Linked DNA regions of Tribolium castaneum. The protein of the gene in region 3 interacts with the protein of the main gene of each other region in a pairwise test. Links are inferred from orthologs where the notes say so. Each region holds a gene or a part of one and is shown on either strand. Other genes may lie near its edges. The genes, in order: NC2alpha, Taf11 and NC2beta.

What was found.
Region 1: the proteins of NC2beta (region 3) and NC2alpha interact in a two-hybrid assay, tested with the Drosophila melanogaster proteins (2 studies listed by BioGRID, with this or other methods). The link is inferred for Tribolium castaneum from reciprocal best matches to the Drosophila melanogaster genes NC2beta and NC2alpha.
Region 2: the proteins of NC2beta (region 3) and Taf11 interact in binary tests that used the Drosophila melanogaster proteins (3 or more experiments, as listed by UniProt). The link is inferred for Tribolium castaneum from reciprocal best matches to the Drosophila melanogaster genes NC2beta and Taf11.

The regions. Positions count from the first base shown.
Region 1 is NC_087394.1:32,793,314-32,796,711, forward strand, and holds NC2alpha (uncharacterized protein NC2alpha), read right to left. Parts: upstream 1,911-3,398; 5' UTR 1,822-1,910; coding exon 1,780-1,821; intron 1,729-1,779; coding exon 1,656-1,728; intron 1,406-1,655; coding exon 795-1,405; 3' UTR 602-794; downstream 1-601. Other genes in the region: PolH (DNA polymerase eta), read left to right, coding at 2,089-2,222, 2,265-2,399, 2,578-2,876, 2,926-3,184, 3,245-3,398.
Region 2 is NC_087394.1:5,383,726-5,388,090, reverse strand, and holds the start of Taf11 (transcription initiation factor TFIID subunit 11), read left to right. Parts: upstream 1-1,467; 5' UTR 1,468-1,895; coding exon 1,896-2,176; intron 2,177-2,219; coding exon 2,220-2,404; intron 2,405-4,365. UniProt on the Drosophila melanogaster protein: The TFIID basal transcription factor complex plays a major role in the initiation of RNA polymerase II (Pol II)-dependent transcription.
Region 3 is NC_087398.1:1,910,185-1,912,853, reverse strand, and holds NC2beta (protein Dr1), read left to right. Parts: upstream 1-1,345; 5' UTR 1,346-1,464; coding exon 1,465-1,705; intron 1,706-1,752; coding exon 1,753-2,024; 3' UTR 2,025-2,047; downstream 2,048-2,669. UniProt on the Drosophila melanogaster protein: Bifunctional basic transcription factor. Activates transcription of DPE (Downstream Promoter Element) containing promoters while repressing transcription of promoters which contain TATA elements.

The DNA.
Region 1 (3,398 bases), on a different chromosome or scaffold from region 3:
AACCTTATTTTTGTTAGGGCATATGTTAATAAATCAATGTTTATCAGCATTAAAAATTCAATGACCCTTTGGACAAGTTGTGGAATTTAATTTTCTTCCCCCGAGTGTCAATATATCGGACAAAATACGTCTACACTGGACATGTCGAACGATGGAAGTAAAAAAAAACACAAATTAAAAAATTCAACTTCGGTTCGGTTTTCCCAGACTGATAAGTCGTTCATAGTCTAAGAGTGCGTTTGTATTATCTAACACTTGTTAAAATAGAATTGAAAAGTCTGTAATTAACTTATTTCCTTTATTTATTCTTTCGAATAGGTTTATGTAACAAATGTAAATTGTAGTTACCTTATTTAAGTTTTAACAGTGTAACTAATCGCCCACTTACAATTTGCAATATTAAGAGTAAGTCGCCTTGTATTATTTTCCATAGTTCAAATTATATGCGCCGTGATGAGAACTTGTGCCCATAATAATGTAAAAAACAAGATGTAATAATTTAATGACTTTATTATTTAATTTCTAACTTATATAAATAAAAGTAACGATTGGCAGGCTCATGAGGTCCTTCAGAGGAGTTAAAAAAGTAGTTGTATGTATATAAGGTATTGATTATAATACTTTAATATTTTTAAAATTGTACATAATGTACTAATGTATTTTTTTACCCAATACAAAACGTTTTAATAACAACTGTATATTTCACTGTTAGGTCATCGGAAAAGTCGTCAGGTAGGTAGTTACGTTTACTTGATACAAATGAACTGATAAATCGGTGATAAATATAGAACAATCTAATTATCATAATCTTCATCAATACACAGAGTGTCTTCAGTGTTCTGATTGTAATAATGGTGTGAAATAGGTATAAGAGGCGGGATATTGTCGCAGTTGACTGGCGGCGTATTTTCTTGGACACTATTAGCGGGCCCCCTTGTTGGTACTAAAGGGGGCACAGGTACGGGTTCCGCCACCGAAATGCGCACTTTGGGTCCTTCCTTCGCCGGCTCGATCAAATTATTAACTGAGAAATTGAACTTTTTCGTCTCTACTTGCGCTACTTTAGGTCCATACTGGATAACTGGTGTTCTAGCCGTGGACGTACTCTGCTCTGTGTAAAAATTCGCCGTTACTTCCGGCTTCGAAGCCTCCACTGCTGCCGCAGGCTCCTGTTTTGACTCGGCCTCCTGCAGCTGTTGCGCTTCGAACATCAGGTTGTTTTTGTTATCTTCTTGTGCACTTGCATCAGGGATATTTTTCACTAAGTCTTTTAAAAAGTCGAAACGACTCTCGGATAATATACATTGCTTCATGTGGGACGGAGTTAAAGTCTTGGCGTTGCGGGACTGCGTTATTTGCATTGACTTCGTCAGCAGCGACTCCACAAACAACTCCAGCGTTCGGGGTAAGCAGCGTTAAGGAAATATTACTAAAGTGAAACCTCAGACTTGTTTTCATTTTACGATCACCACTGAGCTGATAAAATTATATCTGTATTTTTTATTGCAATAGTGGCTACGATAAGAGAGTCAAAAAAAAAATACTTTTGTGAAGCCCTAACAGTGCGTGCGAGACAAACGCAATTAACTGCTTTGCACAAACGTGAAACACTCGCTTAAATTAAATAATAAACAGTCAAATAATTAAAAGGATATAGATTATAACTGGTACAGCTTGTGCCACTTTTCCAACCTCTTCATCAGTCTGCATTATTTTTTTAATACGGCCCTGAAAATCCCCCAATTAAATAAGGAATTTCCAAAATTTGGAACGACTTACTGCTGGAAATCTGGCATTGTATTTTTTCTTTTTTGAAGGCATATCTAAAAATCTTTGATTTCGTTTCAATTTGTCAACAATCACTTTCTGAAAAATGACAGTTTGAGGTTATATGTTGTTAGGGATTTTTTGCACACTTGTCAAAATAATTGTCACTTGTCATTTTTTCCTGAAATGGTGGGAAACAAAAAATGAAAATAATTTCACAATTTCTTGAATAAATAAGTAATTCAACCGTTCATTCCACTTGCAATTACTTATTCAATTGTTAAGATCAAGATTGGGACAGTTTTTAATTTGTTGTGTGGAATGGGGCCCACGGACCGTGTTGTGGTTCTGGTGGACATGGATTGTTTCTATTGCCAGGTTGAGGAGAAGTTGAACCCGGCCTTGGAGGGCAAACCGATCGCCGTGGTCCAATATAATGCATGGCAAGGGGGCGGGTAAGTGGGCATTAAACTTTGGTCTCAACTTGTTTCTCTCAGCATTATAGCTGTTAATTATCCGGCTCGTGACGAGGGGGTTACGAGACACATGAGGGGCTTTGAGGCTAAGAAGAAGTGCCCGAGTATTAATTTGGTGCAGGTTCCAGAACTAAGAGGAAAAGCTGACTTAACCAAGTAAGTGGTGTCACATGCTTTTGTAACCAGGTTTGTGAAAAAATTGTTATTTTTAAGTGACACACAACCACAAAAAATAAAACCTTATGCTACTAAATGCTTATTTTTATTAATACTTTTTAGTATTATGAAAATTACATTATTAATTATAAGTGGTTTATATTAAAAAAAATTGTAGATATCGAGATGCGGGAAAAAGGGTTGCGGATGTTTTGCTGACTTTTACACCTCTGCTTCAACGTGCTTCAGTTGACGAGGCCTACCTTGATATCACGGAAATTGTAGAAAAACGGATTGAAAAAGGCCTGGATGATTTAACTTTAATTAATCTAAGTAACACTTTTGTTGTGGGTTGCGAACTGGAAGATTTTCTTCATAATGCTATTACTAACAAGGAATATTCCATTCCCAATTTAAAACTGGCAGTTGGAGGTCTTGTGACTGAAGAAATTCGACGCGAAGTTTTCAAAGTTACTGGTATTAAGTTACTGTACCAAATTTTTGATTTTATTTATTGATGATTTAGGATACAAGTGTTCTGCAGGCATTGCTCACAATAAAATCTTGGCAAAACTAGTCTGCAGCTTGCACAAGCCCAACAAACAAACCATTCTGCCCCAGGAAGAGGTTGAGAAATTTTTTGAAACCACCCCAATTAATAAAGTGAAGAATTTGGGGGGGAAATTCGGGCAGACTCTCTCGGAGGATTTTCACGTTACAACAATGGGCCAATTAGCCAAAATTCCAGAGAAGCTTTTGGTGCAAAAATATGACGAAAAAACTGGGTATCTATGACGCAAAAATGTCTAATTTAAACTTAAAACTTAAACTAAACAATATTTTAGCAACTGGTTACATAATATTGCCCGAGGTATTGATATGGAACCTGTCACTACAAAATTAATCGCAAAATCCATCGCTTGTTGCAAAAATTTCCCGGGAAAAACTGCGCTTGTAACGGAGGAAAACGTGCAACACTGGCTGGGGAAACTAGCGGCG
Region 2 (4,365 bases), on a different chromosome or scaffold from region 3:
CTGAGGAATTTCCACATATTAATAATAATAACAGAAATATAACTTGAGAAAGTCATAGCTGGAACAACCTGTATATGATTCATGCAAAAAATTATAGACAGTTCTCTCAACAACTGGAAAAACAGTTAATTAACCGACATGCAATGTCCATCACCTGATCGGTAATTTATTTAAAACGGTTCAAAACAAAGAACAATGCAACAACAAAAAACCGACCTCATCCCAAACATTTAAAACGCAACTTATTAAACCAAACATTAATTCATTCTGTGACGGAAATTAATTAAATTTGTTGTGTGGGTGTAAAAAATCAATATCAATTAACTCCGATTTATAATTAGTACAAAATGTCTCGTCCCATCTTATTGTTTTTTTTTTCTTTCACGAAAATTGCATCTGAAACCTTTCACATAAAGCTTTATAGATTTTCCCCTTTTCAGTAGCAATAACACTGACGTTTATTTCTACAGTCCCGACAAACTTTACGATTTTCGTTTTTCTTCTGCAATGTGCACTTAGCTCTCGTGCAATTTTACATCCCCAATTCCCACCGTACGAACTTTATGCACCTGCTGTAAATTTTCATCCCTTTTACACAGCTCCCACCAGTCTGTTTCTTTCATTTTTAATAAGTCTGGCGAGGGGCAATTCCGCTAATGGTAAGACTGTTTGATATACAAAAATCGAAAATAATCAAATATTTTTTTTGCTCTGCATCAACATCTATTATTACTACGTATCGCTACGTAGAAACAATCATCTTATTTACGAAAAGTTATACATAATACAAAAAAAAAATTGTACCTAACTCGCAATTCATGCAGCACTCGCTAGGCTCGTGCCGTAAATCACCAATATCCCACCTAACATTTTGTGCAGTTAATAGTAGTTTATTTGAAGTCTCACAAAAAAGAAATTTCGAAAGATAACTTGTATTATAAAGAAGTTGTGTGCTACAAATATGTCCCCAGGTCAAAGTTTGTAATTTTATTATTTTCTAAATTAATCAATAAATGTTTCATTTAATAACTGTTGTCATAAGCAGGGGTGGCCAAAATTAAGTAATAGATCTAAATAATTTTAAAAAAACTTTAGGTACTTGTGACCCTTGAAGTCCCCACAAATTGTAGCAAATAACTGAGCATTTTTTCAGGGAAATAATCTAAACGTGGAATCGCGACTCACCTTCTTGGTTTAGCGGGGTAATGGTGGTGGTTGAAGTGGGAGCCAGTGCAAGAAAATTGGGGCACAGCAAGCCCCATCCAACGCTCTAAGGCCCCCTGCGTGCAGTCGGCGAGCACCTGCGTGAAAAAATTCAAAATAGCCACAATTTCGTGCCTTTCCAAGCGTTCCCAGCTAACGGTTTCGCACACAATGCTGTGGACGCTTGGGTGATCAAGGGGGCTCCAGGCCCGATTTGACATTTTGACAGTTGTCATCCAGCAAACAAAAGCCACCAACTGGGATACTTACAACGTGATTTTGTTGCCAAATTCGTACGATTATCACACTAGAACATTGTCAAAAGCGGTTAATTGCGAATTAACTGGTCCCGCAATAAAACAACGAAAAAAAAGCGTTTTTGTGTCGTTCACCGCGACGAATCGACCCGACACGTTATCACAATTTTTATCACTGCGAATTGGGCCTCAAACTCGAGAGAAATTCATCGTTTCATTTACTTCGCCTTATTTTACACACAATAAACAAAATTATTGTCAAATATGAGTGTGATATATTGACTGGAATTTGACACTGGCGCCACCTCAGATTTGCACGGAACTACAGAACTACCAGTAGAGGGAGCAGCGATCGCTCATTTTTTCTGTCAAAATTAACACATAACCTTACTTCATTTCCAAAAAAATAAATAGATAATGTGAAAAAAAGACACAATGGACAACATTTTTGCGAAACCTCCAGCCTCCACGAGTCAAATCATCAAAGCTGACCCCAACTACGAGTCCATGGACGAAGACGACGACTCCACTGTGGAGACAGTCAAAGTCGAGGAGACCCAGCTCACGTCTGAAATTCACATCAAAGACGAAGAAAATGTGTACCTGGAGTCGGATATAATAATGCCGGAAGCCCCTCAAAGTAGCAGCGCTCCGGCTAAGAAGAAAGAGGTGAAGACTAGGAAGGAGATGGAGGAGGAAGAGCGCGAGAAAATGCAGTAAGTTGGTGTAAAGTGGGGTTTACTGAGGGTTTGTTGTAAGGGTTCTAGTCTCGAATTTCACCGAGGATCAGCTGGATCGATATGAGATGTACAGGAGGTCGGCGTTTCCCAAAGCTGCAATTAAAAGGCTGATGCAGACGATTACAGGGTGTTCTGTTTCCCAGAATGTGGTCATTGCTATGGCTGGGATTGCCAAGGTCTTTGTTGGAGAGGTTGTGGAGGAAGGTGAGGATAATTCAAAAAAATATTTTTTTTATTTTCTCTATTACACCAAAACTATTCGAAAATGTGGAATTATTTTGGTCTAAGCCTATGTAAAATGATCCGAGGAATCGATGGGCGCCGAGAAAATCTCCAAATTCCCAATAGTTTTTTAGTTATGATTTTTTTAAGTATTAACCAGACAGCTTTCCAATGAAATTACGTCTAATAGTTTAATTTTTTTTATTTTTGTGAAGATAAGTGCCTTGACCACTAAAATTATGGTAAATTTTAGTTGACAATTGAGACCATCAGCTCGAGATTGAAAATACATTCGGAAGCTCAAATAACGTGAAAATACGTATTAACAACTTTTTTCTACAGTTGCCACTGCTTAAAGCACTCTTTAAGCTGTAAATTTATTATTATTTTTTTGATTAATTCAAAAGAAGTCGATACGAAAAAGCTTACACACCTCTTTCCGGCAGTGGTGTCACTCTAAAAAATTAGTAAAACAGTCCAAAGACTTAGAAATGTCAAACTCTTTTTTTGTGTGCAAAAAAAATCAAACATGTAAGTATTTGTGTAATTAATTATTACGCTCGATAAGACTTTCTTTATGGAATAGTGGTCTAACGAACCATTGCACTGTGGACTATGTAAAAAGTAAAAAAAATAACTATGTAAAATTACAAAAAAGTTAATTCCCTATTTTTTTTAAAATGCCCTTTTGGTTTAGCGAAGAACAGGAAAAAAACATCAATTTGAAGAGTTATAAAAAATTGTCTTGGAGCCGTGCTTTGAAATTTTAGGTCGCAGTTAAACAAAAGTTCTAAGATTATAATTTTGAAAAAAATTTTTCTTTTCTGTGCCCTACTGTTACAATAAAAAACCGATAATAAATAATAAATTCAAGACAATTGGTCGCCTCTAACAATATTTTTAAATAGCAAACAGATATGAGTAAGGAAATGGCAGTAAAAAACAATAAATCATAAACTAGAAGATTTTTCTAAAAGCTTTTTTTGTTTTTGCCCATTTGCCTATTAAGTGCCAATTTTTAAGTTTTTTTAATTTTTGAGTTAAAAGTTGCAACGTCGTAAATTAAAAAAACAAACTTAAACAAACAATGTACAATATTTCTAAATGCCCTTCGTTTTCAGATCAATGATGAATCTATTTTTTTTGATAAAGTCTCAATTGACATATTTTTAAATACAGTACTACTAGAAAAATCATTCTTTGTCACTGTACAATCACATTTTTGCTCACTAATACTCATTTACGTAATTAAAAAATAACTAGGAGCATTGCCGATTTTATAACTCAAGTCGGAGGCAAAATCTATACGTTAAAGATATGAAAATGACATAATAATTATTCCCAATTGTTATCTATCTATCCTGTTACTTTTCACGTTTATTCTATTTAAAGTAATGAAGCCTTTTGCGTTACATTCTGTCAGTAAGGTTTCGTTATATCACGGAATTTATTCCGTTTTTTGCAATTTTCTTAAGATTTGAGTATTACTTAAGACTTGTATTAGGTAAATTTAATTAAACTTGCACAAATTCAGATTTTTATTCCTGTTTAATTTGATGCTTAACAATGTAAAATAAATAATAATTTAATTCGGATTAGTTTAATTTTTTATTACCAAAATTTCATTCACTTTCTGCAATGAAGTCTTACGACTTCTTATTAAATAAATGACACCCACTTTTGTTGTAATTAGTGAGTTTTAAACCACTTTGTTATTACTGTTACGAATAACTAACACAAAACTTACAATTGTTTTTTTAACGGATCCAAGACCACTTTTCAATTGTCGTTACGTGACATCAACTCTGAAATGTATTCTAATAACGAAAAAATGCACACAATTGTTTTAATTAATTAGATCATTCATACGTCCGGGGTATCTTATCTTCTTGTAAATATTAATAGTTCTAGTGCTCTAATTGAGTAAAGAAATTAGTAGACAT
Region 3 (2,669 bases):
TATGTGACAAAACCGATTTCGGGGTGAAATGGGGCGAAAACTGCAATAGTGCATTTGCGGAGCTGGAAAACATAACAATTTTTAACATTGTTCCGACAACTAAAAGGCCATAATTTTATTTTTAAAAAACGTCTTTTTTATTGTTGAATTGGTGGTCAAAAGGGCATTGTGTGACAAAACCGATTTCGGGGTGAAATGGGGCGAAAACTGCAATAGTGCATTTGCGGAGCTGGAAAACATAACAATTTTTAACATTGTTCCGACAACTAAAAGGCCATAATTTTATTTTTAAAAAACGTCTTTTTTATTGTTGAATTGGTGGTCAAAAGGGCATTGTGTGACAAAACCGATTTCGGGGTGAAATGGGGCGAAAACTGCAATAATGCATTTGCGGAGCTGGAAAACATAACAATTTTTAACATTGTTCCGACAACTAAAAGGCCATAATTTTATTTTTAAAAAACGTCTTTTTTATTGTTGAATTGGTGGTCAAAAGGGCATTATGTGACAAAACCGATTTCGGGGTGAAATGGGGCGAAAACTGCAATAATGCATTTGCGGAGCTGGAAAACATAACAATTTTTAACATTGTTCCGACAACTAAAAGGCCATAATTTTATTTTTAAAAAACGTCTTTTTTATTGTTGAATTGGTGGTCAAAAGGGCATTATGTGACAAAACCGATTTCGGGGTGAAATGGGGCGAAAACTGCAATAGTGCATTTGCGGAGCTGGAAAACATAACAATTTTTAACATTGTTCCGACAACTAAAAGGCCATAATTTTATTTTTAAAAAACGTCTTTTTTATTGTTGAATTGGTGGTCAAAAGGGCATTGTGTGACAAAACCGATTTCGGGGTGAAATGGGGCGAAAACTGCAACAGTGCATTTGCGGAGCTGGGCAACATAACAATTTTTAACATTGTTCCGACAACTAAAAGGCCATAATTTTATTTTTAAAAAACGTCTTTTTTATTGTTGAATTAGTGGTCAAAAGGGCATTGTGTGACAAAACCGATTTCGGGGTGAAATGGGGCGAAAACTACAATAATGCATTTGCGGAGCCATAAATATTGAAATTAGGTGAAAAAGTGGGAAAAATTAAAAAGCAATTTGTGGTAAATAATTGAGTTTTTCGCTATTAGCATAGTGACTTTCTTAAAATGTCATTTTTAAGAGGGTGTTTAGTGTTTTTTCGGATTTTTATTTTATTAAACGGTTTCAAAGCTGACAACCAAACATACATCTAAGCAAACTGAAACTTATTTTGCTAGTCTGAAACTGGCTTCATGTTCGGGTCTCTTCGGAAATTCGAGGAGCTGGTTTTGGGAGCTGTCTTCACACAAATGACGATCTGTCATTTCGCGGACTCTAACAGCATTATCCTTGACATGTCAAATTGTTCCAGCTGTCCCTATTTGAGGTTAAATATCTCTTTTTTGTTGATAAATATAACAATTTACAATGTCTAATCAAAATAATGCTGGTGGTTTAACAAATACCGAAGACGATGAGCTGACTTTGCCTCGGGCTAGCATTAACAAAATGATAAAGGAGTTAGTCCCATCAGTTCGAGTTGCAAATGAAGCAAGGGAATTAATCCTCAACTGTTGTACGGAATTTATCCATTTGCTTAGTTCTGAAGCGAACGAAATATGTAATCGATTGGACAAAAAGACTATAAATGCGGAACACGTTTTGATGGGTATGTTTCATCATTGTTAAACAACACAAAAGTAAAGTTTTTCGCAGCTTTAGAAAAGTTGGGTTTTGGAGATTATCAAACCGAAGCTGAAGCTGTTCTTAAGGACTGTAAGGCTGTTGCAGCGAAACGCAGGCGACAGAGCACAAGGTTAGAAAATTTGGGAATACCAGAAGAGGAGTTGTTGAGACAACAGCAGGAGTTGTTCGCCAAGGCTAGGCAAGAGCAGGCTTTTGTGGAGCAACAGCAATGGGAGCAACTACAAGCTGCGGCACAAGCCCAAGCTTCGGCTCTACCAAACAATGATGATGATTACGAATGATTTATTAAACGCTTTAAATATTTTGTTATTGTTTTCATTTATTTTTTAATATCTTAGATTTAGGCTTTGTATCAACCACAAACATTCAATAAATAGTGACCCAACGTTTTTTACAAGAAAATTATTCATCTGCAATCTTATGCGTACGAAGTCTAAACAGGATAAAATAACCAATTTCCTAACGCTGAAAAACACTCATTATTACAGTCTTGGTAATGTAGTCCCTGTAAATAATTAAGTAATAAAAATAATTATTAAATAAATGGAAAAAAAACCTTTAAAACTAAGCGCCAACTAAGTGCCAACGTAACATGTTTGCCATGTTTTGATCTTGGCAACACTTTTTTCATTGAAATATCCCCAAGATAATGTCATTTTCTAATAGAAAAAAAGTTATTTAATTTCCATTTAGCACGTAACCGCAGAACAATTTTTATATTTAATACAAAAATAGTTTTTTTGATAAGCAAACTAGAGATACAAAAAGGCGCAAAGCTGCCGTACATTGAGGTTATGTGAATGAACTCGTGTAAGTAAATTCTCCAGATTTTTTCATCATTATCGCAAATAGTGCGCTTACCCAAGCATGATATTTTAGAATGTTGAAAAAAAAGTAAATAAGCAATAAATAATCTTTGAAAAAAG